Drosophila melanogaster: one gene and its partners. The protein of the gene in region 3 interacts with the protein of the main gene of each other region in a pairwise test. Each region holds a gene or a part of one and is shown on either strand. Other genes may lie near its edges.

Region 1 (10,822 bases), on a different chromosome or scaffold from region 3:
TTCAGTGCCTAAAAGCGCTCATGGCAGCTGCTTCTGAGCTTTTAGCAAAATAATGCTTAAAAAGATAATGAAGTCAAAAATAAATAAATTAAATAATTCAAATCAATGAAATTAGATGTACACATTTGTGTGTCGTTGAATATCTAAAACCTCGCTTTTACCACACTCTTTTTCATTTCTATTTTTATTTTCTCTTTCGAATATTAAGTACTAAATTTAAGAATACTATTAGCAACTTTTGGAAACTTTGATCTAAAATTTTGAAAGAACATCTGAAAGTAGAAAAATTTATTATTAGACAGTTTTTTATACTAAATGTGGGTATTAATTTTATTTAAAAGTCAGCTTCTTAATAAATGAAATAAATAACTAGATATGTATGTATGTATATCTATTTAAGGAAAGTCAAAAACTTAGTGATACTCTTAAAAAGAATGTATGTATGTATTTTGATTTTGTTTTATCAATATATGTTATAAAAGCATGAGCTAAGTTACTTAAAGTATGATCTTAATACTTTTTCGCTTTATACACAAACAAACATACATACATATAAAAATTAAACTTTAAATTGTTCTTAAATGCAATTCGCTTGCGTAAACAACCTATCAGCTTATCAGTCTGTACGTCATAAGCTGGGTATGTAGTTAAACTCGGCACGTCATCAAAGAATTGCTATACAAGAGCAGAGCTGTGAAAACGGTGTCTCCGGATTTGTGTCGAATCCCATACCCCTGCTCCTCCGCTTTCGCACAACAGGTAGAGCACGAAAATGAAAATAACATAGTGCAGCAGGTAGCATAATTTCTACATAAACAAAGATGACTCATACCCACAGAGGACTGATCTCTTTGGAGAACATGTTAGTGGGTGGGGGCTTTTCTACATCGTGGAAAATACTTAGCGAATTCAGCGATCAATTGTATATTTACATAGTTAGAATTTCCATAGCATATATTCAGCGATCAATTGTATATTTACATACTTAGAATTTCCATAGCATATAATATTCATAATAAATGTCTCTACTATGAATTGGAAAAGCATTATTCTATACACGAAATATTTCGAAATTAACAACTTATTATTATGTTACGTACATATGTATAAAAATATTACCTTTATCACCCATGATAACAGCATAACGCCATAAGTATATAAGATCTTTTTGTCGCGGTGTATCCTTACCAATCACACAATCCACTTTTCCCTTCTTAGAGCCACCTCCCCCCTTCCACGTTATCAACAAATACCTTTTCTTGTATGTTCTGACCAATAAATTGTTATGCTGCCTGCGTGCGGCTCAGGCGTTTTCTTTTGGTCCATTGCGCATGAGTCATAGGGTTTCACGCATTTGAGGGACACCGAGGGCCAGTATCTCCCAGGGTTCCAGTTCCATGTCCAGGGTGCAGGTTCCATGCCCGTCAATCAGTGCCACTTGCGAGGGGGAGGGGGTATATGATCTCAACACAAGAATTGCCTTTAACAAGTCTAAGTTAAGGGTAGTTGAGGATCATTGAGATAAGGATCTTGTTGGTATTGTTGTGAGAACAATAATAGTGTATCAATGGAAGATTGGAATATCTCTTTCTTTTGTGCTTCAAAATAATGAATCATTTTGTTTAATATCTATTTGTTAGGAAAGTTATTTTTTTCACTTTGCCTTTTTTAAAAAAGGAATCCAATATGGTCAATTGGTTATAACACACTTTCTTTTTAAAGCTGCCATCATGGAAAACCTTTTAAATATGTTCCTCAATGTACGCAGTTCTGATCTAGAAATTTAATAAAGAACTGAGTTTCTTGAAATAAAAAATGTAAATATTTATTACTTCCATTCGCAGACAAGCGAGCATTAAAATAATATTTCACAAAGGTTTTGTGGTTTTTTTTATTGCCCAACTTAAATACATGTCCTAGGAGCTATTCTTACAAATGTGATCTTGCACAGAAGCCAGATCTCTAATCGACATTTATCGGATTCAGCAATATCTATTACTTAACATCTTGTATAAACTAAGTTGTAAATGCTTAATTCATTAATTAAATGTAATTATATTAGACGACAGAAAATGCTACGTGCTGTTTATTAGAGTTGCCTTATCAGTGCTGTCAAAAATACCGGAGCGAGTGCTGTTCAATAAATGTTTCTTGGCACATTTGGTTTTGATTTAATTGTTGAAAAGCTAAATGATTATTAAGTACGAATCGAATTGTTTAGAAACTGCCACCATAGGATAGGAAAACCATATCGAAAAGGCTCTGTATTCCAGATATGCAATGCAAATGATTGTAATTAAGACCATTTCATTCATTGTCAGTTATGGAATAGCAAATGTTATCAAAATCCAGTAAAATGCGCAATGGAAAATGCCAGAAAGTATTATGAGGTTGACAATGAGTTGCGGTGAAATCAATTTGAGGTTTAATTTTAAAACTGCTGTTGATATTACCAGGAGGGGCTTTTCGAAGTCGGGAGTCGGGTTCAGTAGAGCTTTAGGTATACCGTAGATATTAGGGAAGCAACGAATACGCACTTCGCTGTTAGAAGTAATGGCGGAGTACATATCGAAAACGAATCTATAAATAGTAGTCACAAAATTGAGATTATTAAATCGGGCGTATATCGTATCCGTAGCACATAGTTGTAGTATACAACATTAGGTCTGTCTAACAATTTTCCTTTAAATCTATTATTTAAAGCAACTTAGAGTATACAAAATATCAATATATTCAACTGTCACAGAAATGTTTTTGTTTAACGCACTTCACGGCGACTTAATAATTAATACTGCATCTGATTCCCCTGATGACAGTGCGCTTCGAAAACAGCTTGCATTAATTTAAATCTAAAAACTGTGTCAGAACATAGATACTGTGGAAAGTAAGTCAAATTAAACGATTCCGATTTAAGAAACGCACTGAATATCAATTATGTGAGTGGGAACTTCCTGCTAATTGAACTCACATGTCTAGTTAATCCCAATTCATAAATATTGTCTTTTTCACACTACTCTTTCTTGGTGGAGGAGCTTATATTTACTTTTGCCAGCTTGCAAATGAGACCATAGGGAGGGTTAACTTTCCGAATTCTTGTAGAACTCTTGATTTTGTAATTATTATGTACAGGTTAATTCAGAGAAATCCTATTCGGAGGTCTTACAGAGATTTCTTAGAGCATTACAGGCCACACAAATGGATTCAACCAATGCCACTGCTGTCCTTACCATTTCCTACTAAGAATACCATTTTTTTGCTTTAATTGGGTTAAGTTTGTTTGGGGAAAATTGAATATCGTATTAAATAGATTATTTATGTTTCTGCTGTAACGTCTATGTTTCAATATCTGATTTTATGTTTTAAGGAATATGTTTGTTTACCCTGTAGACATTCTTTTCTATTTTTTCTATTTTTCCTGTTCGACGCCCAACGCTCTGAGCCTATGGTTATATATGTTAGTTGATATATTCTCAGGTACGCGCTGCATTTCTCTAGTTAACATTCCCCTTCCGTATATCGAAATCTGCTTAAAGGAACATTTGATATTTTCTTTAAATGTATCGATTAGGCGAGCAACAATATAAGCTTTCTGGTAAGTAGATTATTTCTAAAATCTCTGGGGATTATCGTTGGACTGTGGCTGCTCGCCCGCCTCCAGCTGCTCCCGTTCCCGCAGCTCATGCTCCTGATCCTGGTCGTTGTTCTCCTCATCGCTGGAGTCAACATAGTTGCGCATGGCCAGCGCCTGGAAGTCGTTCAAGGCCTGCTCGAAGAGATCAATGGTGTGCTGGTTGTGGGCAATCACCTGTTGGGTGTTCCTCAGGTCACGCGTGATCAGATCCTGCATGGAACTTGAGGCAGGCGAGGAGGCAGGCGAGCGCCCTGCATCGTTTGAATTTGTGGAGTTGGATTGCTCACCGCTGCTGCTGAGATCATCGTTGAGATTGCTAGCCGTCAGTCCCCGAGTTAGTTCATCTGCATGAGCCAGCGTTGAGCCTATTATGTCGCTAGCGATTCTAATGGCCGCATCTGTGGCTGCTATGGTGGATATGAAACTGGAGGCAGCTGCTGCCACGGTGGTTGGATTGGCTGTGTTGGTTGGCCTGCTGAAGACGGTGTCGCTGGTCACCTGGTTGCCTTCGATCCGCAGACCGGCCACCCCCTTTTTGGGTATGGTGGCTAGGTCTCGCTTAACCCTCCGGCAGCGAGTGGGCTCATTCTGGCGCTGCTGGACTAGCTGCTCCAAGTCCACAATGTAGACGTAGCCGGCTACCAAAATTGTACAGGATTTGTCGCCCTTCTTAAAGGCATCTTCGATGTCCTGACTAGTGCGGTCATCGTACTGCCACCAACCTATAGTTAAACATTTTGACAAGAAAGAAAAATTCGGAATGGAATGGAATCGGTCCAATTCTTTTCGACGATTTGGTCATTTAATTACAGTTTGTTATTACGGAAATGGATGTGCGGAATGGGTAAGGAGTTAGGTGTTGTCATTAATTATTAAAGTGTTCTTGTATTTTTAGTTCTGGCTCAGTCCAGCAACTCCTCTCATTCCGCCAGAAACGTCATCCGTGCTCTTGCAGCGCATTATATTGCGGCTCTTTTCTGGAGTCAAGCGGAGATACTGTAAATTCTGCAAAAAGTCGATGATGTACATACGCCCGCAGATCTGAATGGGCAGTGTGCATGGATGCGGCCTAATGATGTTCAGCTCATCGGGGTCTAAGCTCATAATATCGTCCAATGATAGGGCTGGCGAGTCCCGACCATTGTTTTCGGAAGAGGCTGGAGCGCCCTGACCAGATGAACGAATAATGGTTGGGTATATAACAATTTCTGAATCGGCATTGTAGAAAATAATATTTTCGTCACACAGACAATAGTGATTGATAGGGTTTGGACAGTCCCGATCAAATAAAGGAGCAAGCTCAGGGTTATCTGCCTTGAATATCTCAAAGCCAGCATAGGCGATCTCGATGTCTGCATTGGTCCGAGAATCGTACGCCCACCAGCCCCCTAGATGGGTTTAGTGCGTGAAGGATTTGGGGTTTATGGGAATGAGGGACGGCCGGCACCAAAAGCTTAATTATACTCACCGTTTCTTCCCTCGTAATACCACTGGAAGCCGTCCTCGGTCGCGCGAGTGGTGCAGATGTCCTCAATGCCATTCACCAGCTGGGGATGGTCCAGGAACTCGGCGGGAATCTCGCGACGGCACATAGCACAACGGCGGTTCTTATAAGCAACACCCTGGAAAGCGTAAAATGACCAATGAGAAATTAAAATTTGATTCGACATCGCTATGTGTTGAAAAGCAATTGTAATTTCCTAACACATAAAACTTAACAAGAAGCGAAAATAATACATTTCAGAAAAGCATCTTATCATTAGCGTAAAAACGCAAAAATACGATCATACCAACCTAAGACCTTTACCCCACATTAAGTACACTGGAATAAAATATGAGGTCTTTTACCTCAACCAAAAAATAACAACTTGTGTTAAACGTTATAAGCATAGATGAAGTTTACAAAACTAAGGAAGTTGGAATCGCCTCTCTAAACCAACACTTTCCCACGACCAAACATGTTTCTGAACAGGAAAATGCACTCGAGTGCTAATTGGAGTGGTAGTCTTAGGCTAAAACTGGTTGAAATTGGCAGGAGATTGAGACCAATTGACAAGTCGTCAGCCGGAAGCCAATCTAATGCCATAATTTCTGGTCAGCCGTGTTCGGTTGGCATGCTAATCAATCAGTGAAACCAGCTGTCGCACCAAAGGGTTAAGAACAGCCTTGAACTTGGCTACGTGCTGTGGGTGATTTTGCTGATCGGGAATAATATTCAAGAAAAGCGAGTTTGAATGTGAATTGAATGACTAAGTGGCCACGAAAGGCTTCCGCTTTCGGCTTTCTGGGCTACCTACCTTCACGCACAAAAAGCAGAAGATGTGGCCACAGGGGAGACGAGCTGGGTGGATGCAGGTTTGCAAACAGATGGGACACTCCAAGGCAGCGGCCGCTGCAGAGGGGGAATCTTCGCCAGAAACGGCTGCCGCTAGAAATTGAGTTAATTGAAATAAGTTAAATCAAATAGAATAAGGATTAAGGGATATATGAATAATAACGATGCAAAAGTATAACTCTTGTGCTCTCAATAATATTATAGAATATTATTGTGCTAGTGAGTGCAAAATAATCTGTCATAATTCATAATTCCTTCTAGTATTGCTTTGAAATGCTTTTAGGAAGTCCTTCAAATTTGATTTCGTACATATGTATATGTACATATGCGTGTGTATGCGCTCTAGGAATAGTGCAAGTGTATCCTAAAGCTTTATAAAAGCAAAGGGAACTTCTTGTGGCGAAAGGCAACTTTGCTTACCTGCATCCACACCGGTGGCTAACGCTCCTTCGTCAGGCGAAGAAGCAAGTGAATCGGTATCCGAAGCAGCAGCTCCAGATGCGGATCCAACCGCCGGATCCTCGCCACTTCCGCCTCCTGAGTGGGCTGCAGCTGCCGCCGCCGCAGCAGCAGCAGCAGAAGTGGAGGGCGAGACGCAAAGATCGATGACTGGTGCGGTGGGACGCAGAGCTGCAACGAATTGCACATCCGTATCCTCGTCGTCGTCCAGCGCTATTACATCGCTGGTGTTGTTGTTGCTAGCTGCAATCTGCTCTGTGGAGCGCTGTTGCGACATGGTCGGATTGGATCGATTTCGTCAACAGCGGGGAAATCGAGCTGTTGTCGTCGACGTTGAGTTTTAAATTTTCACAAACAAACTTGAAACAAAAAATTGTTGCTGCCTGAGTATGACCAGCTCGGGCTGACTTTGAATTGCTAATGTCATCGACAAAAATACTACATTCGTTTCGGTATGACCGTTGACTGTATTTTCAGTGCTGCTAAGTTCTGAAATGGCGCCAATGAATTTATTTAAATATTATTTTCAGTCTTTGAAAAGTAGAGTCATTTATAGTTGCAAAATTGAAAACTTGTAATTATTTAAAAAAAAAGCTTTTGGTTATAGGATAATAAACTTATTTATTCCATTTTTAACGGTCAATAAAAGACCAACATTTAATAAAGATTATCCTAAGATAAAAGTATTTATAAAAAGTAAATTTTTTAAAATTTATTAAGCAGTTTATTATTTTATACATTTAACAAAGTACTAGAGAATGCCTTAAATCGAACTAACTTATATTCGGTCGAAAATATTTCTAAATTAATTGGCGCTGCTTTATTACCTGCAGCCGCCGCTTTAATAATGCTATATTAAATTCACAAAAACCAATTAAAATTATGCGCTTCATTACACGAAACACCTCTCGCAGCGAACTGCCATAATATTTATGTATGTATGTATGTATATCCCACCTTCATTGAGAATTTAACTTCATAAAAATTGACAGGCCTTCGGCCAGCGTTTTTGACCAGCGAAGGCATCACGCGCTTTTTAATATGCAGCCGGCGTGCGACAGGCCAAAAAAAGTGACACACAACAACAGGCAGTTGCAGTTGTCCTGCACAGGACCTTCGCACTCATTACATAAAAATCAATTTTTGGTTTATTTCTGCACTCGCCCCGCCCCACCACGCAATTGCATGTCATTTTTTGCCAATTACACCCACACCCGCACACTCGCGGCCAATTGCCTAATTGCGCGACGGCCAAACGCGTTGAAGTCAACTGGCGACGAGTTTTGTAAATTACTCTCGTTCTGCCAGCTTCGATCCTGCGACTCTGCGACTGCGAATGTGATGTCCTGCCGGGCTGTTTCATGCACGTGTCCCTTTGGGCGTTTTAAAAATGTGTTGCCCATCCTGGGATGCCACTCATTCGACGTGATTTGCCTTGGGGAATGTGTATTTACAGAAAGACAGCGAAAAAAGTATCTATAGTATCCAGAATTTAGACCACAAGTTTACCTGGTATTAACTCATATGCGAGTATTAAAGCCAATATAAATTACTTAATATTTAAACCATATTCCTTTGACACTAATACATTAATTAGTTGCTAGTTGTAACACAAAAGTATTCTATTATATTATTTAAACTATTAGCATCAGATTAACATGCAGTTTTACTTTAATTATGGTAATAGGAATATATATATATATATATATATATTTATTTTAATTAAATTTACGCACATCGACTCGAATCCAGCATACCCATCACTATATCATTCGAAGTGCACACACAGCAACTACTTAATATGCACGGCGAGTCCTTGAACTCTCGCCACTCAACCCTTTATCCTGTGTGCTCGTTTCGGCACTTGGTTTTTTGTCATAATTGTTCTATGTTGTGCACAATTGAATTTTTATTTGCCAGCAAACGATCGAGAAACAGAAGAAGAAATTTAAATGATGATTGCCGTGGCTCATTGTTTCATCGCTCTGTTGGTCCCAAAAATGTAAATAACCATAAAAAGTAACCCGCAGAAATAAAGGAGAAGAAAACCTCAAATCTTAATGTAATTACAACGGTGGACGCCTCAAGATTATTAACACAAAAGAGGGTCGTCATAAGCATAAAAATATTGCCCCCCCTCCCCAGCATGGCAGATTTCGTCAGCCTGTTTTTTTTTTTGTTACCATAAAAAAGGGCGAATAGAAGGAAATTTCCTGGCTGCCGCTGTTTGCACCCTCGTTTTGTAATAAGCTACTTTTGCATCTGGCCTATTGCTCTTTATTTTATCATTTGCTGGCTTGTTCCTTGCTCCCCCTTAAACATTTTATTATACCCATTTTTTGGGTCCTAATCCCATCTTAATAAACGAAAATTGTCTGTTGACACATGTGAATCGAGGCTTGCAGGCAGTGCAGTCTAAGCTCTAATAAATTTACGATCGAATTTCGCACGAGTTTCCTATTTAGATGCTGATTTTTGTGGCAAGTATTAGCGCAATCAAAATCCTGTGAAGGGGGTCCTTAAGGTTAACGGATTAAGCGAGTCAGCGAACATAGAGCTATGTTACATATAGGATTTTACAAAACTTGTTATGACATAAATAAATTTCATGGAGATCGAAGTTGGATTGTCAATCCATTTTGATCTCTGAGAATGCTAAAATGCATGAAGGATAATGTCTTTTCTATTTGATGTTATCATTCCTTTTATTTAAATCTAAGTTAATTTTTAATTAATATTTTTGTATGTTACGTTTTTACATAAAATAGTTAAATTATAGTATAGTTTGTAAAACTATACAAATTTGTAAAGCTGCTAAGCGTTTTTAACAACAAAAATAATATATGACAGTGCCAAGGCAACACAATGAGCTAGTTTCAATTGAATTTTTGAGCAAGTTAAAAGATTGATATTTTCTTAAAAGTTTTGAGAAGAGAGCAATCATCCCAAAATTAGAGGTATATATATCAATGCCTACGAGGATAAGTGAACTACATTCGAAACTTACCTTCCCTGCGGCACTGAATCCCACTCCTTTCACTTTGCCCGCCAGTTGACTGCTGGTTTTTAATTAAAATATAAAAACGAGGGGAACGTGCCGCGGTCGTTAGGCAATAAACTTGGACACCGCGCATCCTGGCAAGGACAATTACCAGGCGGAAAATGTCGCAACATTTTCGCTCCTTATCGCGGCGTTTTGGTACTTTAGGCCAAGGAATTCCGAGCCGCGGCATAAAGGAAAGCGAATTAACGACATTGTAATGCTTATCTGAGAGAAAAGGTCCTTTTGCCGAGTGCACGGCCATATCCTTTCACCCCGCCCACACTCAAAACATATTTTTTTTCGGATGCCTAGGTAGAGTTCCCAAAAAAGGAGGCAAAATCTTGATTTTTAATTTTAACGCTTTATTTAATTATGTGCAGACGAAACAACTTGAAGTTTGCTAATAAAATGCTTAAGAAGTGTCCTTTCTGCCTTCCCTCATCTCGGCTGCGCAATAAAACCCACAAAAAATGGGCTAAAAATGGATTTTCCAGCTACTTTTACTCTCTTCTTTTTTTTTTTTTTTTTTAATAAAGACATCAACAGATGGGCGGCGATAAAAAGGCAAAGATTATGGCACAGACTACAAAGAAGAAGATCAGGGAAGGTCCAAGTGTCCTGTGTCGTGTGGCTTTTGACACCCCCAACAAAAAAAAATAAGTAAAAACAGCAGAGGGAAAAACAGGCAACAGTTTCCCAGCTTTTTCGACCATTCAGATTCTATTCAGATTCAAAGCTGGCTTGGACAAAAGGCCAGACGCCGAAGATTTAGTTTTAAGCGTTAACACTTGACCCAAGGATAAAAGGTCCTGCTGCGAAAGTTGCTTACTTTTTATGGCTTTAAAGATAAGCGTTTATTTCTCATTCGATTCTCTTGGTGCGCAAACTTTTAATTAGCTGGAAAAGTCTTGCTCCCCCTCATTTTCACGCCGATTGCTTTCCAATTGTAATAATCGAACAAATTGTACACCAGAAGTACCCAATAAAAATCAAATACCAATCGAATGCCCCCTTACTTCGTGTTATTTTCCCCGCGAGGGATGTTTAGCCTACTTACGGGCATCATTTGAATTGTCACCTGTTGTTCCGCGCCCTGGTTTAAATCTTTAAAATCAATATGCCACGCGTCAAGTTAAACTGATGGAGCTCCTTGGTAAACAAGGGGAGTTCTGGCGCGAAGTTGGGCAAGTTTTGGGTAAGGGAAGTGGGGGTGGTGACACCGAGTGGGCGGAATTCCAAGTTGACTCCTGCAAGTCAACAAGAGACGCCTTTGGGCATCAGACAGACGAGCAAATTGAAATGGTTTAGATTACATTTGACTTTTATAAGCGGATTTGTCACAGTTGCAGGTGGG
Region 2 (5,801 bases), on a different chromosome or scaffold from region 3:
GTGGAGCAACTGGACGTCGGACATCCGCAGGCAGGAGTCGTGGAAGGTCAGCGAGATGGGGTCTGCCTTGGAGTTGCTGCCCATTTTGGTATGGAAGCTATTGTTGGTGAATCTGGGGCGCCGGCGATTCGTATTCTGGTTCTGGCGTGTATGTTGCCTGGAATGAAAATAAATGGCAAAAAATTGATTTAAATCATGTTGTTGCGACTAGATTCGTGTTGTTCCAGCTGGCGACTATCACCTAAGTATTTTCCTATCGTGGGGCAACATTTTCACTAACAATCTTCGCGAAAATTCGGCTAAAAGAATAAAATTTTTCCGGCGACTAATACAACTCCAGGGTTTCAAAGTCAACGCAGGAATGACGTTTTCGGTTTCCTTTTGCTTTTGCTTTCCCTTTCGTTTGCCGGCCGGTACTGTTGTTATTGTTGTGGTTTCAAAGCAATCAGAAATCAGTCATGCCAAGCGCATTTTAAGAACACTATAATCGTATTTTAAACCAAAATAAACATATCGAAATTAACTAATCTTCGTACAAAGCTGTTTTGTTATTGTCTTTGACAACGAATGGGCGTAGCAAAACAAAATAGAGGACACTGAGGAGGTGAAGGTGGTGGTCAGATCCCCACATATATATTTTTTACTCACCACGAAAAATGGCTACTCCTCCTCCTCGAAGTCGCGACCTCGCTTTTTGTCCGTTCTTTGGACACTCCTCGCGTATTACCATTTATTTGGCTGTTTGGGAGCAAATAACTTGAATTTACCAACTGATATTTTCACTAATATAAAAAGTTACACAACACTCTGAATAGTTTTTCCGCTTTTCCGCTCAAATAATAAGTCGCCGTACTGTATATCTTACTTTCTGGCTTGGGCTGCCAGACTGCTCGCTAAATAGGTGGCAGTGCAGACTGTGAAATGCAGTGTTGCCTAATGTGGCAAAGTTATAAAAAGTAATTTAAATATGTATAATTTAATTACAAATATTTTTTATTCCTTTTAAAAAGTTTTTTGAATTTATTAAGTTCACATTTTTAACATTTCTTGCAATCTGATTTTTTTTTTTTTTGAATTTATTAAGTTCACATTTTTAACATTTCTTGCAATCTGAATTTTTTTTTTTTGAATTTATTAAGTTCACATTTTTAACATTTCTTGCAATCTGGCTTATAATTTTCAGGGCAAACTTGCTTTTCGGGTATGTTGAAACTCGCAGTGGTATTAAAATTAGTTTGGCATTTAGTTTCCGAAGAAGTCTCGCTGGATTCTGGAAACGGGGCACATCCTTCGTCAGGATTCCACGTACCCCCTCGCAACTGCTCTTCCAACCACTTAAGTTGCTTGTTTATCTAGAAAATTACAATTCTTTTAAGCGTTTTTTTTTTCATTTATGTAAATATGCAAACAAAAATTATTGCCTTTTCTACCATCTCCTCGTCTCTTTCGCTTCCAAATAAATTGGCTGTAAATTGGTAGATATTCGATGGCTTTGCCTTAACCGCCTCGGCTGTAATGACCCGAATTATGGCTCGGATCTCTGGATGGCGTTGTAGATATGTCCAATCGTCCTTGCGCATATTTCGGGAAATATTTCCAATAGTTTCATAAAATTTTGATACGTTTTCGTTAATGTTTTTAGCATGACTAGTATTTTCCGTGTTTTCGGTTTCCTCAGCGCTTGATGTTTTCGTGACATCCATATTCACTTTGCCAGAAAAATGTATATTTTCAAATTTTAATTATTTTGAAGTATTTCGTTCATTGGTGCTTGTGGACTTAAAACTCAACGAGTTTTCGATAACCAACATTTTGTACAAAATAGCCAATTCCAAGCTTAAAAATAAAAAATAACCCAACTCCGTGACAATGTTTATTTGAACATTGCCGTGACCAGGATTCGAACCTGGGTGTGGTAACCCACAACGTGGGGTCCTAACCACTAGACGATCACGGCTACATTGGATTGCGCCCAGCAATTCCAAGATCCCACCACGTCACCTAATAAAAAAAAATTGCAGATGTAATTAGTAAACACTACCCCAAATCAAATAGAAAATCAAATAATAAGATTAGCAAAAACATGTTTTATCATTTATTTATATATCATTTCAATTTGTTTAATAATTATTTTCATTTTCATCAAAATAATTAGAGTGTAAAAAAATACCCAACTCCGTGACAATGTTTGTTTCAACATTGCCGTGACCAGGATTCGAACCTGGGTTACCACGGCCACAACGTGGGGTCCTAACCACTAGACGATCACGGCTACATCGGGTGATGCGAGGTCTATGCCAAATGACTAATTTTAGCAAAGTGCGCAGAAAATCATAGCAAGTAAGCAAGCAAGTCGTAAATAAATCTGTTTAAGCAAAACGAATTTTAAATTGTCTTGAATAATATTGAAGAGGAATGTTTTTTAATATGTTGCTTCTTACAAATTGTGTATGTATGTATATATATAGATATGTATATTTGGTTGAACCTGAGTGTGTCGGGCTACCAAAGCAGCTCCGAAATCTTTTATTTTATTTAATGTTTATTTACTCCTAAAACATAATAATTCTACGGGTTTTTTGCCTTTTCAACTCCCTTGGTGGGGAATTTCTGGCGGTTACTGGCTGGGGATAAAGCCGAGGAGGCTAAATTGGCATTTCCTCGGTCGCGACGCTGCTTGAGGCGCTCCCGGAACTGATTGCGTAGCGTATCCATGGACGTGTTGAGGCTGAAGTTCATGTCGGGCAGCTGATAGGTGGCCAGCAGGAAGTTGCAGCGAACCCGCTCGTTGGCGATGCGCTTGATGAGCTCCTGCATCTCATCGCTCTGAACCAAACTTCTGATGGCCACGCTCACCTTGTCCTGGGCGACCGTGGCTTTCTGCTCCATCTTGCGTTTCTTAGGTGCCTTGGATCCACCGGCTCCCAGCTCGTCTGCAGCAACCGACTCGAACTGAAGGTCAGCACTTATGCGTCTGGCGCCATGCTGGCTCTTCCTGGACCTGTGGCGTCCACTCTTACTGGATCCATCAGCAGCAGCGCCAGTCGATGTGTTTGCTTGGCCCGAGGTGCATGGATATGCTAAATCAGGGTCAATTTTTTCGAACTTGGCGGTTTTGGCACCGAGCTCGTTGAATGTAATACATTTTCCACCGACACTTCCCTTCGCTTTTGTCTCTCCTCTTTCGCTCGAATCGGATTCCATTCTGATGGCCTTAAAGCTGCTCACCTCCCAATGGTTGTCTTCAAGCTAATGAAACTATTATGACTTTAGTCAACCATTTAACTGACGAGTGTTTCAGTTACAAACTTACCTTAATTCAACATTACCAGGCTGTTTGCTTGGGCTTATTATTCATATCGATAGACCGATTAAACGATAGCAACCAAATAGTGCTGCACAACGAAATAGTTGGCTGGCGTCATCTGGTGCTCGATGTTCGAGACGTATGTTTCATATACTTATTATAATGCAATTATTGTATTATGAGCGAAATTTTATAAGCTTTCGTTTTTATCAACTGATTGCTTTCAGTAATTAATATTAATTACTTTTGTGTGTCGTTCTGCAACACTGTGCCTTAGATTTGGATTCTGGCTGCCCGTGCCCAACACCCTGTTGTAGCCGTGATCGTCTAGTGGTTAGGACCCCACGTTGTGGCCGTGGTAACCCAGGTTCGAATCCTGGTCACGGCAATGTTGAAATAAACATTGTCACGGAGATGGGGTTTCTTTTTAATTTTTTAAAAGGGGTTTCTTTTTAATTTTTTAAAAATGTCTATATATTTTCTATAGTTATAAAAACTTCTCTTATTCAACGATATAGATTTAAATTTAACGCTGCTTATTTATACATAATATATTTTTATGCAAAGGTATACTCTGAAGAAAGCTAAGGATGAATACTAGAATTTTTATGATATTTTGAAGTATTCGTAGGATAGATATGTTACTTAAGAGACATAAATATATTTCTACACGCATGTATCTTAAGTTTTAGTGATAACTCGAATTAGTGTTTCATTGAAAATGTTGTCAAATTTGTATAATTTTACGCATGTGTTAAAAATTGTTGGTAATGTAATGGTAGCTTAAACCAGTAAGTAGCTCGAAAAGTGAGAGGCATTCGGCACGCCCAGTGAAAGGCAGGGCTATTTCTAATTAACCAATAAAGAAAAGAAAGAAAAGAAAACTTGTTTTCTTTTAAAATAAAATTACTTTTGATATACGGTCGGTGTCCAAAATTCTAAAAGAAGTGATAAATAAAATCAGTAATATTGTTATTATCTATGATACTTGTAGAAACTTCGGACATTGAAGATTGAAGTCAAAACTGATTTGTTTCAAAAAAGTAATTTGGCAGCAGTCAAACATCACCCGATGTAGCCGTGATCGTCTAGTGGTTAGGACCCCACGTTGTGGCCGTGGTAACCCAGGTTCGAATCCTGGTCACGGCAATGCTGCAATATGCATTGTCACGGAGTCGGGGTTTTTTTTTATTTTTTAAACCTTTCAACAATTTAAGATTAATTTCAAAAGTGCAGTTTTTTATTTAAACAATATTTTCTAACTTCTGACTTTATTTTACAACTCGCATGAAAGGATCTAGTTGATACTAAGACTTTAGTTAATCAATGATGACCATTAGGTAGCGAGCTGGGATTTGGGAAGCTCCACCCAACAACCCGACGTAGCCGTGATCGTCTAGTGGTTAGGACCCCACGTTGTGGCCGTGGTAACCCAGGTTCGAATCCTGGTCACGGCAATGCTGCAATATGCATTGTCACGGAGTTGGGTGAACAGTCGCCAATTACATTTTTTTGCCCCAAAAAGGCTTTGAGAACTTTTCAATGTATAAAACACCAGCGTTTGATTTGTTTTATAGACTTTTAATTTTGATTATTTACAGTTTGCCTCTTTGCATAACATACAGAAGATATAATTATTTAATTAATATTAATTAAACTATTTGCATTACTAAAGCTTATAGGGGGTTCAGCCGAACTTCGCATCTGTGATTTAGGTTTGTTTTTCTGGATAGCTTAATAAACACACGCCATGGCGGAATGTAGTTCTACTTTAGTTGGGGGGAGGCATAAATAACAAAAACAAATTGACACAATTTTATACGGGGTACAAATTAAGACGGTCAGGTGGTTTGATTGAAATTGAAATGAACTTTCAATGCTCCTCTTCACTGCTGGCCGTAGAGCAGTTCCGATCCGGGCGGTATGCTACTGGGGTCCACATTCACATTAAAGTAGTTGGCTGGCGTGGCAACGGCGGGAAATGCGTTGGCCATTCCTGTAGCCTGCTGTTGTTGCTGCTGCTGCTGCTGATGGAGCTGCTGTTGGGGATGCTGTTGCAACGTAAGGTTGTACGGATTTTGCACATACTCCTGATAGATGTCCGCTGCTGCTGTCCCAGCTCCACTCGTCGCCGCCTGGCTTTCGTAAACGGGCGCAAAGCTGTGCACAATGGATGCCTGCGGCATTTTGGGGAGCGAGGGGTACGCATTTCCGGCCAGCAGATGACTAATTGGCACATTGATGGCAGGGTCGCTGGCTGGAGCCGGCAACTGTTGCTGCTGGGCCTGATACTGTTGATAGTACTGTTGGTAAAGCAGTTGCTGCTGCTGCTGCCCAAACTGTTCCGCAGTTGTCTCCGGCGCCATGGGCACCTCAATGGCGTAGCTATTGTACGTATTGTTGGTGGTTACGATGTTGGTCTGCTGCACTATTGAAGCCGGCTGCTCCGCCTCCTGCGGGCTGTGCGTCGGGGACGTGGTCGTGGCTTGCACGG
Region 3 (6,286 bases):
CCACTCGTTGCACTCACTTAGAGCAATGGTATTTTAGGAAAATATGCAAGTGCACTCAGTGCTTTTATGTATTTCATTCTGATTTTCATGAAAAGTTATATTTATTGTGCTCTGTAAGTAAAGCAAGTGCACGGAATTGGGAAAATAATATATATTTCCGGACAGTCTGAAGAAAATATTGATATATTTAAACTATAAAAAATACCTGTGGGAAGATTGTTCGGATTATTTTAATCTCATATGTGCAAAAACGAATTAACGAACTTTTATCATCCACTTTTCGCTGAAACTGCAATACATTCTGCAGGCCCCTAAAGCTCGATGGCCATCATTAATGCAGCCATTATTTCCCATATTTTTTATTTTTTATTTATATTTCTCCTTATCGTAGGCAGGCCTGAAAGGGGGGCCAAGTTAATTTCAGAGCACACTTTACGTGCTGCAATTTGGAGCGTTTCAGTTGCATTCGGACCCGGGCCAGCAGCACATTTGGTAAGCAATAAATTGACCCGCCAGCCGACGCCATCATCTACTTTAAAAGCATTTGTTGCCACACCGCCACCACCCAGAACCTGTGGCCGCGCCCCCAATCAGCAGCACTTGGAGCCATCCGCCGCCCTGTGACCTCCTCCAATCCCCTCCAGCAGTTGCCAGAGCGCCGTACTCGAAGCGGCGACGACGCTAAAAAGATACCGGAAATGTTACAGGAAACAAAATGACTTAATGGCCGCGATTGCAACGGCATGGAATCGTTTCAGGCATCCTCCTGATCCTGGTCCTTTTCCATTTTCCTTCATGCTCCTTGGTCCATAGCCTGCTGGCATTCATGGAGGTTGCCGAGGTCAGCAGAAAAGCATAAAGGAAAGGTTATGGCACGGCCATGTGCTGAATGGATACCCTTCTTCAGATCGTCTTTGTTTACAAACATATTTTATATCAATAAGTCATAGTTATTATTTTTAAAAAATAATAAAAAGTTAAGCACTCTTTTAAGTGCTCAAAGAATAGCTATTAAAAAAGGTACTAAGTTTAATAAAATACTTATCACGTGTAAGACAAATATATTCTATTAAGGTCAAGTGATATTTGTGATGTAATCCCACTTACATAAACTTTTTTGAGCTAGCATTTAAGCTCATGCTTCTCGAATTCCCCACATGAATTGCTTTTCTTAAATGGACCAGACTCTCCCACTCCACACCTGATGTCCTCTAAATGGAGCCGATGATGAGCGTGATCCGCCAAAGGCAAGTTACTGCCCATACGACCCGACCCGACCTCTTTCTTTAAACAGGTAATTGCAATTGCGACATCATTATCATATGCTAAACGGAACTGATTGCTATTGAAACGGTTTTGAGGTTTGAATTTCTTTTGAGCTGAAACATATTTCTAATTAAATTAATTAAGCGAAGCGAGAATATGGCAAGTATGCAAGCCAATTAGTGGAAAACGCAAAATTAAATGTCTGTGCATTGAGGAGACTGCAGCGGTGTGGAGTGGATGGGTGTAAAAATAGCTGGGAAAAATGGCAACCAGAAGAGTGCGGGATCGCTCCGCCAACCCATTGTCCTTGTCCATGGAGCACTTTGTTGGCCACTCCGGCTATAATTGCGTTGAGACATGTAAGCTTTTGTTTTGCAGTTAGGCGTGTGGCTGTGCGACAAAGTTAATGACAGCATAATTAAACAAAACTAACAGCAGACTAATAAAATGTTCATAGTGCATGTCGCTCAAGGCCTCGGCACATCACCACGCCATCACAACCCCATCACCTCGCCACCCACAATGCCAGCTACTTTCCATATCTCCAAATGTATATACATTTATACAATACATATACCTGGCGAGCATTTCATGTCGTTGTGTGTCAACGTTTGTCAAGCGACAATTAAAGTCATAATAAAGGCATGCTAAAGACAATTATTATGTGCACGTCCTGCCACGCCCCCCAAAAAGAACCACCCAGTTCGTTCGGTTAGTTATGCATAAAGTTCGCCACAAAAGGGTTTAACCTGAGCGTAAACATGCGCTCCTTTGTCTCGCAGGCATATAAATTTCAAAATTAAAGCAGAGTTTAACCTTTGTCCTTGTGCAAATGGCAGGGTGGGTCTATAACCACCTGCCTGCGATTGTGTGAGACCCGCATAAAGAGCCTTCGGTTTTAATGCACGCGAAATTGACTTATTTGATTTATTTTCATAGTTTAAGCCAAGGGCTTTTATTATAAGCATGCTTTAAGTGAGTGGATTTGAGAGGGGATTTTAAGAAAATGCAAGGCAAAAGTTATATTTATATTCGCGTTGTTAATTATTTATTGAGTACTGTATTTTGCGGTGATTAAAAAAATAACGTTGTGTTTGAATAAAGAAAATCATTGTCCTCATAACACTGAGAATGCATAAAATAATTTTTTTTTTAATTGCCCCCAAGTACAGTAAAACAAATGTGCACAGAGCTTTCTTCGAAAAGTTATCCAACCAGCATGCATTCCACTATTCGCTCATTATGGAAAGCGGCTGATTAAATATTAACTAATTTAATAAAATGCCGGCCTGCTTCAATATTGAAATAGTCAGCGAATGTATTTGCCCAAGCGCACGTAGCCGAGATATATAAAAGGTGGTCCAGGGTGCAGAATGATTAGGCTATCCGTTGACCGACGATGCATTCGACCAAGTCAGCCGTTCTCCTGCTCGCCCTGGCCATCAGCGCCAGCTGCGTTGTTGCCACACCGCATCCGGAATTCTTGGATGAAATCTTCGGCTCCATAAACCAAACTGGCCAGCACATCATCAGTGGATTCGTGAATGCCACCAGGAATGGCACGGCCATTGCTGGTGAGTTCCTGGACAGCATAAGGAACTCCTCCGCCCAGTACACGCACGAAACCCTGGAGTTTGCCCAAAAAATCGCAGATGCAGTTCATAGAGCCGCCACTGAGTCAATCGTCGACTTTTCCGCGACTCTGAGGGCGCAGATCGACGCACTGCATCAGGGGATTGATCGGGTGAGAAACATCCTGCAGCGAGAGGCACTTAAGGATGCTCTCGCCAGACTGCAGACCGTCAATACCGTCGTAAATGATCTGGAAGTGGCCGTGAATAACCTCAATGATCGGATAGACGAGAAGAAACAAGAGTATTTCGCCATAATCCAGAAGAAGTGGTACCAATGGTCTGACGCCCAATTGGAACGAGTGGATAAGCTGACGAATGGAGTTGGCAACGAGGAAGCCGAGGAGATCATAAATGAGCTACTCTCCCGGTATTCCGGATATCTGCACAGCTGCCTGGAGGAGTTGCAAGCGCAGCAAGCCACGTTTGAGCAAAATGTCCAAGAGGCCATCGAAAAGTACCACAATGCCACCAACGAACTGACGGACCAAGTCGAGCTCTGCGTCCAGTTCAACCTCAGCTTCCTGTCCTGCCGCAATGGCATCAATGAGGCACTACGCGGACTCGACTCGGCTCCCGCGGAGCTGCTCACCCTGAAGCTTCAAGGCATCCGACTACTGGCCATCGGCCTGAATGCCAGCGGATGTGTGGGCCAGACCCTGGCCGAGCACGAGCTGGAGAAGCCCAGCGTGGAGCGCAAGCTGGATGAGATCATTGCGGAGTACCAGGAGCAGCAGACTTCCACCGATGACGACTCTAGCTCTAATAATGAAACGACCACCATAAGTTCGTAGGATTTCGGGGAGTCATCCAGTAATGAATATGACAACTCCAGCAATGACGACGAATCCTCATGGAAATATTTACAAGAACGTATAGTGTATTTTAGGTGTCGGGTAGAAGCAGCAAAATAAATTACTCTAATGCAACTAAATTAGAAATTGTTTTCCTTCATCGTTTATCAATGATGTTTCTTAATAAACTATGCCAAGCTTCTCAAAATATTTCTTAACTTTGAACAGTACTTTAAAAATTACTCTACCGCAAACGTATTACCCAGATACCGATTAACTTCATCAATGGTGCAGCACATTTTTTGCGGATGCTAAAGCAATTATTTTAAAATTGTCATATTCATTTATTTAGGTAAGGCACGAAAGTCGTGGCAATTTAAAGACACGAGGCTTTAGTAGATTAATTATTTAAATGCATTCGATTCTGCCTTTATATGTAAATTAAATAAGGGTGCTAAATAATATAGAAAAAGGGAAAAAGAAACTAACTTGCACTCTTAGCACCTCCCCTACTAACAAATGATGCAAATGAACTGAGTGAATTCCCCTTAAAGGACTTCCCCAGCTGCTATAAATATAAATAGTTGTATAACAACAGTAACGAAAGGTATAACACTGAATTAACAATCTCAACTGCTATAAAAATGAACTTTTGTGCTTTTGTATAACAGTCAATTGAAGAGGACACGAAGCGCGTAGTACAGCGTTTATAAAGTTTTATGCTGTTATATTTTTCAATGAAAATGTGTTATTTCATATCGAATATAACAGATTTGCTATAATATTCAAATTATGGCTCCGTTCAACTAGCATACATCTGATTCTCATTTATAGCTCATACGCCATGTATACATAACTAACGTACAGCTGGGTAAATTACATTTATAGCTCATACGCCCTGTATAACACGTGTACGATTTCCCCTTTATGACTTTGCGAGGGGGGCACTAAATGAACCACTCGAGAATAAATATTTGCTGAAATAAAACGCAGGCTTTCTATCTTAGTTTGCTTACTTGCAATTTTATTGACTTCATGTGTTTGAATAGATCTCTTTAGTATCTGAATTTGCCTCTTATTACCTAAAGACCACTAAATCTGTTTTTCTGATTTCTGTTTATTATTTACTTAATGATTATACTTTTTGTGCGCTAAGCCAAACAAAAAGTTTACAGATTTCGAAGCATTGGAAATTCGATTCAGTTTCGTGATAATACTAAACTTATCATTTTGCGTTTCTGCCTCATGCACAAGCCAAAAGACAAGGACCTGTAAATATGTCCCAAGCTTTTTCAGCCCACTAACTCATAGACTGAGCGCTTACCTCGGAGGAGTTTCGGCCTTACTAATTGATAATGTTGCACTAACAGTTCGCTGGCAAAATATCGATACATATTCATTGTTTTGCTGCATGCAACGCCTTACTTTCATTCTTGTATACCTTATTGCTTACTCTAAAACACGAAACAATGGCTTAGATTACATATGAATTTCGCATTAGGAATTTACTGAATTTTGTTTAGGAATAATTTTGCATTAGGACTACCAAAATCGGGAAAGCATATTTTCCAAATTAAAGAGAACAACCAAACAGTGATTAGTGATTATAATAATTTCGTAGTTGCTTCTATCTAGCATTGTTTAAGTATTTCTTAAGTCTCTCATCCCTTGTTTCATCGGAAAATATATCAATGAAATATTTGTTTCAAAATTTATATAACTGAAAATATTTCGTAGGACTCAAACATTATGTAGAGGAATTCAAAATATATTTTTTTTGAACAACCAACTTGATTTTCGCTTGAGATCATACAGCTACAATCATGTGTTATTGCTTCGATTCGTAAGTGCGTTCCTTTTATTCCTACTGTGAGCAAATGAACATACTTAAATACTTAGGGTCAGTTAATTTGTTGAGCATTCTGATGATGGCCAAATGAAGTTGATAAACCGCACCGGAACACAACCAACTAAATTCTCAAACTAATTGGCACATAAATGAACCAAATGCCCCAATTTAAATGTTTCCAACAATGTCCATATCTCATTGGTACTCCACCCTGGCCACGGGCACGCCCAAATCATTGATCTCAAAGACAATCAGCTTCCGTTTCTTGCGGACATTGGCCGATGGAATCGATTGCTTGGGTGTCGTCGTGGTCTTTGTGGATGTGGTGACCGGGATGGATTGCTGCTGCTTCGTTGCCCCTCCTTTCGTTGTTGCCTTCGTCGTTGTTGTGGCTGTGGCAGTGGCCACTCCTTTGATTAAACTCTCATTCGTTGTTGCACCCAATTTTCTCTTCGGTTCCAGCAGTTTCGGATTTCCCTTGGGCTTCTCTTTAGTCTTATCATTAGTATTTTCCTCGGGTTTCTTCTTGGTAATTTCTACTGGTTTTTCCTGTGGATTCTCCTTGGTCTTGAGCAACGGTGGCAAAGCTGGAAGATCGCAACGCTGGCGGAGATGACGATACACTGCATCCACCCGCTGTACCAAGCGATTCACATACTTTGTGGTCGTTCGATCTACAATCGAAGGAGCCTTGATGCAGTCGTTGCCACCGAATTCACAAACCTACAGGGGAATAATAAATTTAT
Region 4 (7,531 bases), on a different chromosome or scaffold from region 3:
GGGCATGTAGCGGCCACCGTTCTTTATGGAGATGCCGATCTTCATGTAGTTGAAGCGACGTCCATAAAGTTCGAAGAACTCGAGGAGAAGCACCCCCAGATTGGCTGTATCGTGGTAGATACCGCGCGGATGCATCTGCAGGAAGCTGATGCACATAAGGATCAGCGAGTAGGAGGAGATGCCGCCCGTGAACACCTCGTTGAGATCGCGAAGTAGTAAGAACTGCTTCAGCACAAGCACTAGCTTCTCCAGCACTGGATAGTCGCGCTTAAACTTCTTAATCAGCTCCGCCGACTGAACACCACTCTGCATGTTGAACGATATGTCTACCTTCACTTGCGTTTCCCGGTCCGTCAGCTTGATGATGGGCACTGATGCCTTGTCCAGAACACGCACCGTACAAGCCTCGGCGATACCACGGCTCACTAGCTCGAACTCCAGCGTTCTCAGCGGCAGCTTCTCCCACAAACCTGAAAGTAAATTGAAGAGATTAGGATAAGATAATAAAGCCAATGCATAAATAAAAAGTCAATGCATGTGGGGGCCACTTAAAAAGCTAGTACCGTCCCTTCACTCACCTAACACAACGAGATCTATGTCGGAGGTGGGCAAAAAGAGGCCAGTGCGAAAGGAGCCAAAGATCTCGACTACTGCCTGTGGCCAGATGGAATGGACAACGGCCTCGATACGCTTGACCACCTCGTTGCGGATGGCGTGTTCGCAGGGCGTGGGCAGGACGTACTGATAGAAATGCTCGATCTCCTCGTGCAGCCCGATAACGCCCTCGCCATACGGATAGTCCGGCTTGCGCCACGGTTCGCCCTTGTACTTGGCGATCATCTCCATATGGTTGTTCATATAGTAGTGGGCTCCGCCAGCCTTGTTCTCCGGTCGTTTCTTCCGCGATGGATTGTAGTAGATGCTGTTCGTGCGGCTGGCGGGCGTGGTCGTTGATTGTGGCGGGTTGTTGCTGGTGTCGCTCATACTAGTGGCTGGACCAGTCGTGGTCGCAGCTGTGCTTGACGCTGTCGTCGCCGGACTATTTGTACCGGTACCTCCTGCTCCTGTTGACGTTCCCGTTCCTGCTCCGGGTCCGTTGGTTGAACTGCTATTGGCGGGTGAGTTATTGTCCCGATTCGTGGTGGAATCTGCCGACGAGCTAGTGCTGCCGCCGCTTGTGGTATTGATGTTGGTGCTGTTGCGCTGAGTGGTCCCGTTGAGCTGCTGCTGTTGTTGTTGCTGCTGCAGGATCTCCAGGGAATCCGCTCGGAAATTGAGCACCCGATTTAGCGAGCTGTAGGGTCGCGATAAGTAGGGTTTGGCCGATGAATTGTTACCAGTGTTATTGGTCGTGTTGGTGATAGTGTTATTGATGATGTTATTGTTGTTGTTGTTGTTGTTGTTACCACTATTGCTGCTGCTGCTGCTGCTGCTCGTGCTCCCGTTGATCGTCGTCGCCTGCTGTAGCTGTTGATTAAGCAATGCGCCCATCTCTTGGGCATTCGTCTCCCAAATCTTTAACCATGTGCACAGCGATGGTCCCTCCTGTTCCTTCTGAAACCAGCCAACAAATGGATCCATTCAAGACGGGTTCACACGGCTGTTGGCTGGGCGGGAAACGAGGGGGGCGCGCGTCTCTCCTTCGCTTCGTCCTTTCACCTCTATCCTCTGCGTCCTGGTGGTCTGAATATATAGACGTGACTCTATATAGATCCGATGTGATCTTTGTGCTCCACAGGGAAAAATTAATTAAAGTCGCTGCCGGGACTAAACCTCTTTGAATGCTGTCAGCATTCAAGTGCTGTAAAGAGTGTCACGAAAAATGTTAATTAGTTACCGGAGTAGGAGTTATGCGTATCCTATTCTACTACCTCTACATACGTTTAACGGTTCAAAACAATAGAATTCTCAGTTATGATCACAATATTACACTAAAGTCATTGCCATTTTAATTTCGGTATATTCTGGTATAGTAGGTAGACTTGTCAATCTTATTTGTTAACAATTAATGTGAAACAAGGCAGAACACCTAATTTGATTAATATTATTAACTTATCACTCAATAAATATGCCAATGTTCGCAGTTTTGCGAAGAGAGAGAGATTGGCTTATATTAGGAAAGTTCTGGAAGAACAAATACCCTCCATTTGTTCACTAAGTACAACCATATACATTTCGATATAATCTACAGCAGTTGTATTTCGAGGCTTTAACCAGTTTGGGACTCATTGTTTATAATAATCCTAAGTCAACTTCAAGTAATTTGATAAATCAAATAAATACTGATATCAAAATACTGTTATTGATGTACAGGTTTTAGGTTAACTCGGGGAGATAAATAAACAAAGGAATGGGGTTGAGATTGAAGGAAAGGAAACAATAGTAACAGTAGTTGTTGGTGCTGCTCTTGTTATTTTTGCTCTTTAAAAGGGGTTTGCATGCATTTTACACAAAATGGAAAGCGTAAATGGCAAACTATTACAAATTATGCGCTCTTTTTCTACAAATAGAAATGCCCCGCTCTCTCACACATCCCCTCCCTCCCACCACTTTCAAGCGAGCGCTCTTATTCACTCCTTTTTGCAAACCAATTGCAGCTGAAGCGTTTAAAGGCGCCAGTCGAAAATTGTTTTTCAGAGCGCGAAAAATCACACATACACACACGCGCTAGAAAAAAAAAAAACAAAAATGGGCCACAACAAAAAGGTTTTTCACATACGAAAAGCAAATCAAAATGCAATAAAAACAACAAGCAATTCGAAAAAAAAAAACAGAAGGAAAAACAGCTCACGAGACTCCGAGACCCGCAAATAAATGACTTCCCAAGTGATATTATATCTCGCACCAATACACTGATAGCTACTCTAGTTTTGTGCAGCGTGCGTGTGACTCTGTTGGGTGTGTGCGTTTGTGTGTGAGTGTGCAAGGGCGTACAGGTGGCCGTAGTATGGGGGTGGGAGTGGGAGCGGGACAGCACACATGCACATGTACCGAAAGGCGGCTTCGATTATGCAAAAAAAATATAATACAATAAGAAAAAAGGGAGAAGAAAGATGGGCAGAGAAACCGCTAAATGCGCACACACCTACACCTAATGCATATTTTACCCGATACGATTTTCATTTGCTGGCTGAATTTTCGGTAAAAAAAAACTTAGTTGCATTTGACAGAGGAAAACTCCCGTACACCCACACACATTTACAGCAGGCCATCGCGCACATGTACTTGTACATTTTAGGCAAATTAACACTTTCTTAATGTTCGCCAGTGTTGGCTAACGACCCAAGGAGAGCAAGTGAGAGAGCGGGGCGAAGTGATATTGAAGAAAGGCAGAAAGAGAGAGCGATTTATTGTTTTAACCGGCAAAAAACATACAGAGGCTGAAATTAGTCGGAGTAATTAATTGCAGTGGATATCGATAGACGGGCCTCGGTGTTGCCACCTGGCTTCGAAGGGCTCTCTCTCTTTACAGCACTGTCCGGGGCAAATGTAAACATTTAATTTATGCAACCGCTGCAGTAATTAAGCGAAAATCAATTAAGCAGACTACTCCAAACGCACGCCCGCTCTCATCCTCGTATTCTATCACACGCACACACATGCGTATCGAACTGCTCTTCACATGATTTCTCGCGTAATTCAGTTGGAATTTTTCACACACAATTCGTTTCTTCTTTTTTTTTAGCCGTTTTACCTTGACAAGTTTTGGTTCTCGTTGCGATTGCGTTGTATTTCAAGTTTATCACACATACATATACTCACACCTACACACGCAGCAAAACGTGAACAAAATACACATGTTGGTTATAAAAAATAAGCCAAGTTATATTATGCCAGTTGTATTATTGTGCAGCACAAAACCCGCCCAAAAATTAATGGAAAATTACAGTTGTTGTCGGTCGGCGTCGCTGCTGCTTCTTCCGTTCTTTCTTACTGTCTCACTCTCCCTTCTCACATATCCTTATAAGCACTAACAATTTCTGCTTCTCGCTCACTTTCGTTGCGCTGCCGATGGAGCTCTCTCTTTCACTCCTTGCTGCCTCTATGCCTTTTATGCACTCCCCACACACCCGCACACAGAGTGACATTTGAAGCACATACAGACGCACACGACTGGTTCTTTCGAGAATCGAACATTACCGAATTTATCAAATTGCGCTTCGCAATTGTGCATTTCCTGTGCAGATCGCAGGCCTCAATCGCGGCACGATTGTTTTTCGCCCTTTAGCAACGTTCCCTGTCAATTTCTGTGGATTTATATTGCAATTTGCGTGCGAACACGCGACCGTTTCGCGATAGAGCTGGTTCACGAATCGATTGATGAGCGATGTTATCGATAGACCTGATAAGCGAGAGGTGGATGTGCTCGCTAGATTCGCCAAGGTTGATGACTCCGCTAAGTGAATGGTCCTATTACAAAATATCGATGACATCCAAATTGCTTGTTAAATATAGTTTCAAATTTAACTGTAACATAAAAAAAATGTATTAAATCAATTTTAAAAAAACCCAACTTAGCATTTGTTATTTGGGGAAAGTCCATGCTATTCCCACCTACTCAACTGACAGGACGCATCACCAACTAAATTCGTTAAAAACATTGTGATTATTATAAACAATTAGTATTATTTATCCTGTGGCTTATGCGATTGGTTGTCATGCGATATTCTGGCTTTCACCATGTTCTCTGTACTACTGTACAGTTCCGCCGCTAATCAGACGTCGTCATCACTGATTCACCAGTTACTCATATGTGATGAGCAAGAGGGAGTTTTTGCCCGTGCCCTTACTTTCCCATTCGTCGCCTAGCGAAGGCAATGATGAAACAGCGAGGAATTCCATTTGGAGCTTAACTGTGTAGCGAAGCGAATCGCTTCCATTAGGGACTTTCCTCAATTCATAAACTAAATATACATATGTATTCACTTTAATGCTAAAAATTAACGAAGCAATGCCTGAAATCAAGAGACTTTGCCTCGCCACCGAGAATAGTCATATCGCAGCCAATGCCATGCTGCTAACAAAGATAGATGGTATGTTTGTGACATACATATCTTATAACACCGGATCATATTACATTACCTAACCCACTTAGAACTCAATTCCCAAGTCCTGTCGCAGCGCGCAGAAATCGAAAACTTGACGAGGGCGGTTAAGACACTTACGGAATTCGTTAAGCAGTCGATGAAAACGACCAAGCCGAAGGCGAAGGGAAATCCGGACGATGATTTTCCAATTATGTATGAGGAGGATCTGGTCGAAGTGAATCACAAGATAAGCCAGGACTCCAGGGGGATCTATGTAAGTTTCTCCTTCCTCATGCTTTTCCATCAATAGAATATTATATAGTTGTACTTATATGATCCCTGATCAGACGAATTCCATGCGGAAATTCCTGCGCCAGGGAAGATTAAGCCGCACCATAAGACTCATTTTCTCCGAGGACATCCTTCTGAACTACAATATTGATGGGAATCAGAAAAAGAAAAGACTAAAAGATCACGAACATCTGTTTCGTTCGCTTATGAGTAAGTTTAGTGCTCGACATCCAACTTTTAGTGATCCATTCAATAATTATCCCCAACTACAGACGCCATCGGTCAGGTGGAACCGACGCTACCCTCGGAAAAAGTCTTATTCAAAGCCATGAGATGCGTTAAGAATTGCGCAGCCAAAAAGAAGGGCAAGGTAGATGATGACCCCTTGTCCGTTTTGAGCGTGGAGAAATCATAACTGTGCCCATGTGAGATGACATAGTAGAAACAAGGATTTAAATATAAGTAATGATTTACGGGCGAATCAATCCGAATTGAGGATGAATACCCAAATAGTGGTTGATGGATCATCATCACTTTGTTGAGAAGTTATCACTTCATGGAGAAGAGCGAGAGCAAAACAAAAGACGAAAAGAAAACATCGATTTTTCACTATACTATCGATGTTTCACGCCTTCAAAGTGAAATGTCCAAAAAATATGCCTCGTTTTCTTTATATGATTACTAAATGACACATTTTTTTAAAATAATATAATTATTAAATGCCTGGTGATATTAGCATTATCACTCTTGTGAAAGCAATTTATTTAGTTATGGGTTATCCACCAGCAAGAACCTCTTGCGCGGTCACGATGCCATCGCTAGTGGCGGGTGGTTGGCATCAGTGGTGTGCCATCTCTAATTTGCGGTTTACCTAAACCAGGTGGAAGAGTGCAACTCTAGTCTGCATTGGTTGAATCGCGCAAAGGAAAAGGAAACCATGGCGCTGGCCATTAAGAAGCGCGTAGGCACCTACGTGGAAACGGTGGACGGGTCGCCGCCGGTGAAGAAGCTGCGTCTGCAAACGCTGGCCGCTGATGCCAAGGGCGGGAAATCCGGAAAAGTGGGCAATGTGGAGCGCAAGCTGACGGCGCTCAACCAATTGGACGCCTATGTGGGCAACCTGCCCGCCGGTGCGTTGGTCCTGCCCACTGGGACACCAGTTGCTTCGACGGGAGCCCCGTCAACAGGTGTCATCGGAAATCCGCCGGCTGCGGCGACTGGAGCTCCCCCAATGACGGCCGCGAATAGCAGGGAACTGCTGGAGCTCTTGGTCAAGATAACCGATGAGATATCCTATGAGGACGTGGAAATGGGCGAGCTTAAGGAGGTGGCCAGCAAGATCTTCCAACTGTATCAGCTGCAGGAACGCGATAGCGACACCTCCATCCGGGTGAAGCTGCTCGAGCTGCTGTCCGGATTGGGTTGCGAGTGTGCCACCGAGCAGGCGCTTACCATGATCATCGACTACTTTATCTTCTTGTTGAGGAAGGAGGTGTCCCAAAAGGTGCTCGCCCAGGGCATGATGTGCCTGTTTCGAATCGGGGAGCGCAGGAAGCACATGTTGCCCATATCGTACAAAACCCAGGTGGCCCACCTAGCCAAGGAGCAGCTGCGCTCCGGTTCGGCGCATACGCAGAAGAACGCCATGCTGGTAATCGGTCGTTTTGCCACCAAAATGGAGGGTGAGCGTCATTACGTATGGAAGTTAGCCTTCTACATCGACTCGCAGGACTCGAGCGTTCGTGCCCAGGCTCTGCACGCCCTGCTGACCCTCGGCGAACGGGGATCCCAACTGCCGGCGGTGCTCTATAAGCGTGCCGTCGAGGCCATGAAGGATGACTACGAGTGTGTGCGCAAGGAAGCTCTACAGCTGGTCTTCATGCTGGGCAATCGGCATCCGGACTACATTTTACCCTCGGACCGCCAGCAGGAGGAGCTGCGCATGATAGACGCTGCGTTCAGCAAGGTCTGCGAAGCCCTGTGCGATCTATCGCTGCAAATTCGCGTGCTCGCAGCGGAATTGCTCGGTGGGATGACCGCCGTAAGCAGGGAGTTCCTACACCAGACACTCGACAAAAAGCTGATGAGCAATCTGCGCCGGAAGCGAACGGCGCACGAGAGAGGTGCTCGCCTGGTGGCCAGCGGTGAGTGGTCATCGGGTAAACGGTGGGCGGACGATGCGCCGCAAGAGCACCTCGATGCTCAGAGCATCT

The links.
Region 1: the proteins of CG16826 (region 3) and Rnf146 interact in a two-hybrid assay, tested with the Drosophila melanogaster proteins (one large-scale study listed by BioGRID).
Region 2: the proteins of CG16826 (region 3) and CG8490 interact in a two-hybrid assay, tested with the Drosophila melanogaster proteins (one large-scale study listed by BioGRID).
Region 4: the proteins of CG16826 (region 3) and Trf4-1 interact in a two-hybrid assay, tested with the Drosophila melanogaster proteins (one large-scale study listed by BioGRID).

Annotation. Positions count from the first base shown.
Region 1 is NT_037436.4:19,635,966-19,646,787, forward strand, and holds Rnf146 (ring finger protein 146), read right to left. Parts: upstream 6,852-10,822; 5' UTR 6,703-6,851; coding exon 6,387-6,702; intron 6,060-6,386; coding exon 5,929-6,059; intron 5,254-5,928; coding exon 5,100-5,253; intron 5,020-5,099; coding exon of another isoform or gene 4,523-5,019; exon of another isoform or gene 4,394-4,522; intron 4,354-4,393; coding exon 3,608-4,353; 3' UTR 2,581-3,607; coding exon of another isoform or gene 2,486-2,580; 3' UTR 1,242-2,485; downstream 1-1,241.
Region 2 is NT_033778.4:12,332,889-12,338,689, reverse strand, and holds CG8490 (uncharacterized protein), read right to left. Parts: upstream 3,375-5,801; 5' UTR 3,314-3,374; intron 3,259-3,313; exon of another isoform or gene 3,250-3,258; 5' UTR 3,205-3,249; coding exon 2,569-3,204; 3' UTR 2,485-2,568; downstream 1-2,484. Other genes in the region: Den1 (deneddylase 1), read right to left, coding at 1-157, 242-270; CG34021 (uncharacterized protein), read right to left, coding at 1,149-1,352, 1,422-1,703; garz (gartenzwerg), read right to left, coding at 5,194-5,801.
Region 3 is NT_033779.5:13,345,132-13,351,417, forward strand, and holds CG16826 (uncharacterized protein), read left to right. Parts: upstream 1-2,641; 5' UTR 2,642-2,665; coding exon 2,666-3,691; 3' UTR 3,692-3,889; downstream 3,890-6,286. Other genes in the region: CG9395 (uncharacterized protein), read right to left, coding at 5,736-6,263.
Region 4 is NC_004354.4:8,557,423-8,564,953, reverse strand, and holds the start of Trf4-1 (topoisomerase related function 4-1), read right to left. Parts: upstream 4,060-7,531; 5' UTR 3,695-4,059; intron 3,260-3,694; exon of another isoform or gene 3,193-3,259; intron 1,802-3,192; 5' UTR 1,582-1,801; coding exon 579-1,581; intron 547-578; exon of another isoform or gene 471-546; coding exon 1-470. Other genes in the region: CG12112 (uncharacterized protein), read left to right, coding at 4,931-5,033, 5,096-5,301, 5,375-5,528, 5,591-5,733; IntS4 (integrator 4), read left to right, coding at 6,256-7,531. UniProt on the Drosophila melanogaster protein: Involved in a post-transcriptional quality control mechanism limiting inappropriate expression of genetic information. Polyadenylation is required for the degradative activity of the exosome on several of its nuclear RNA substrates.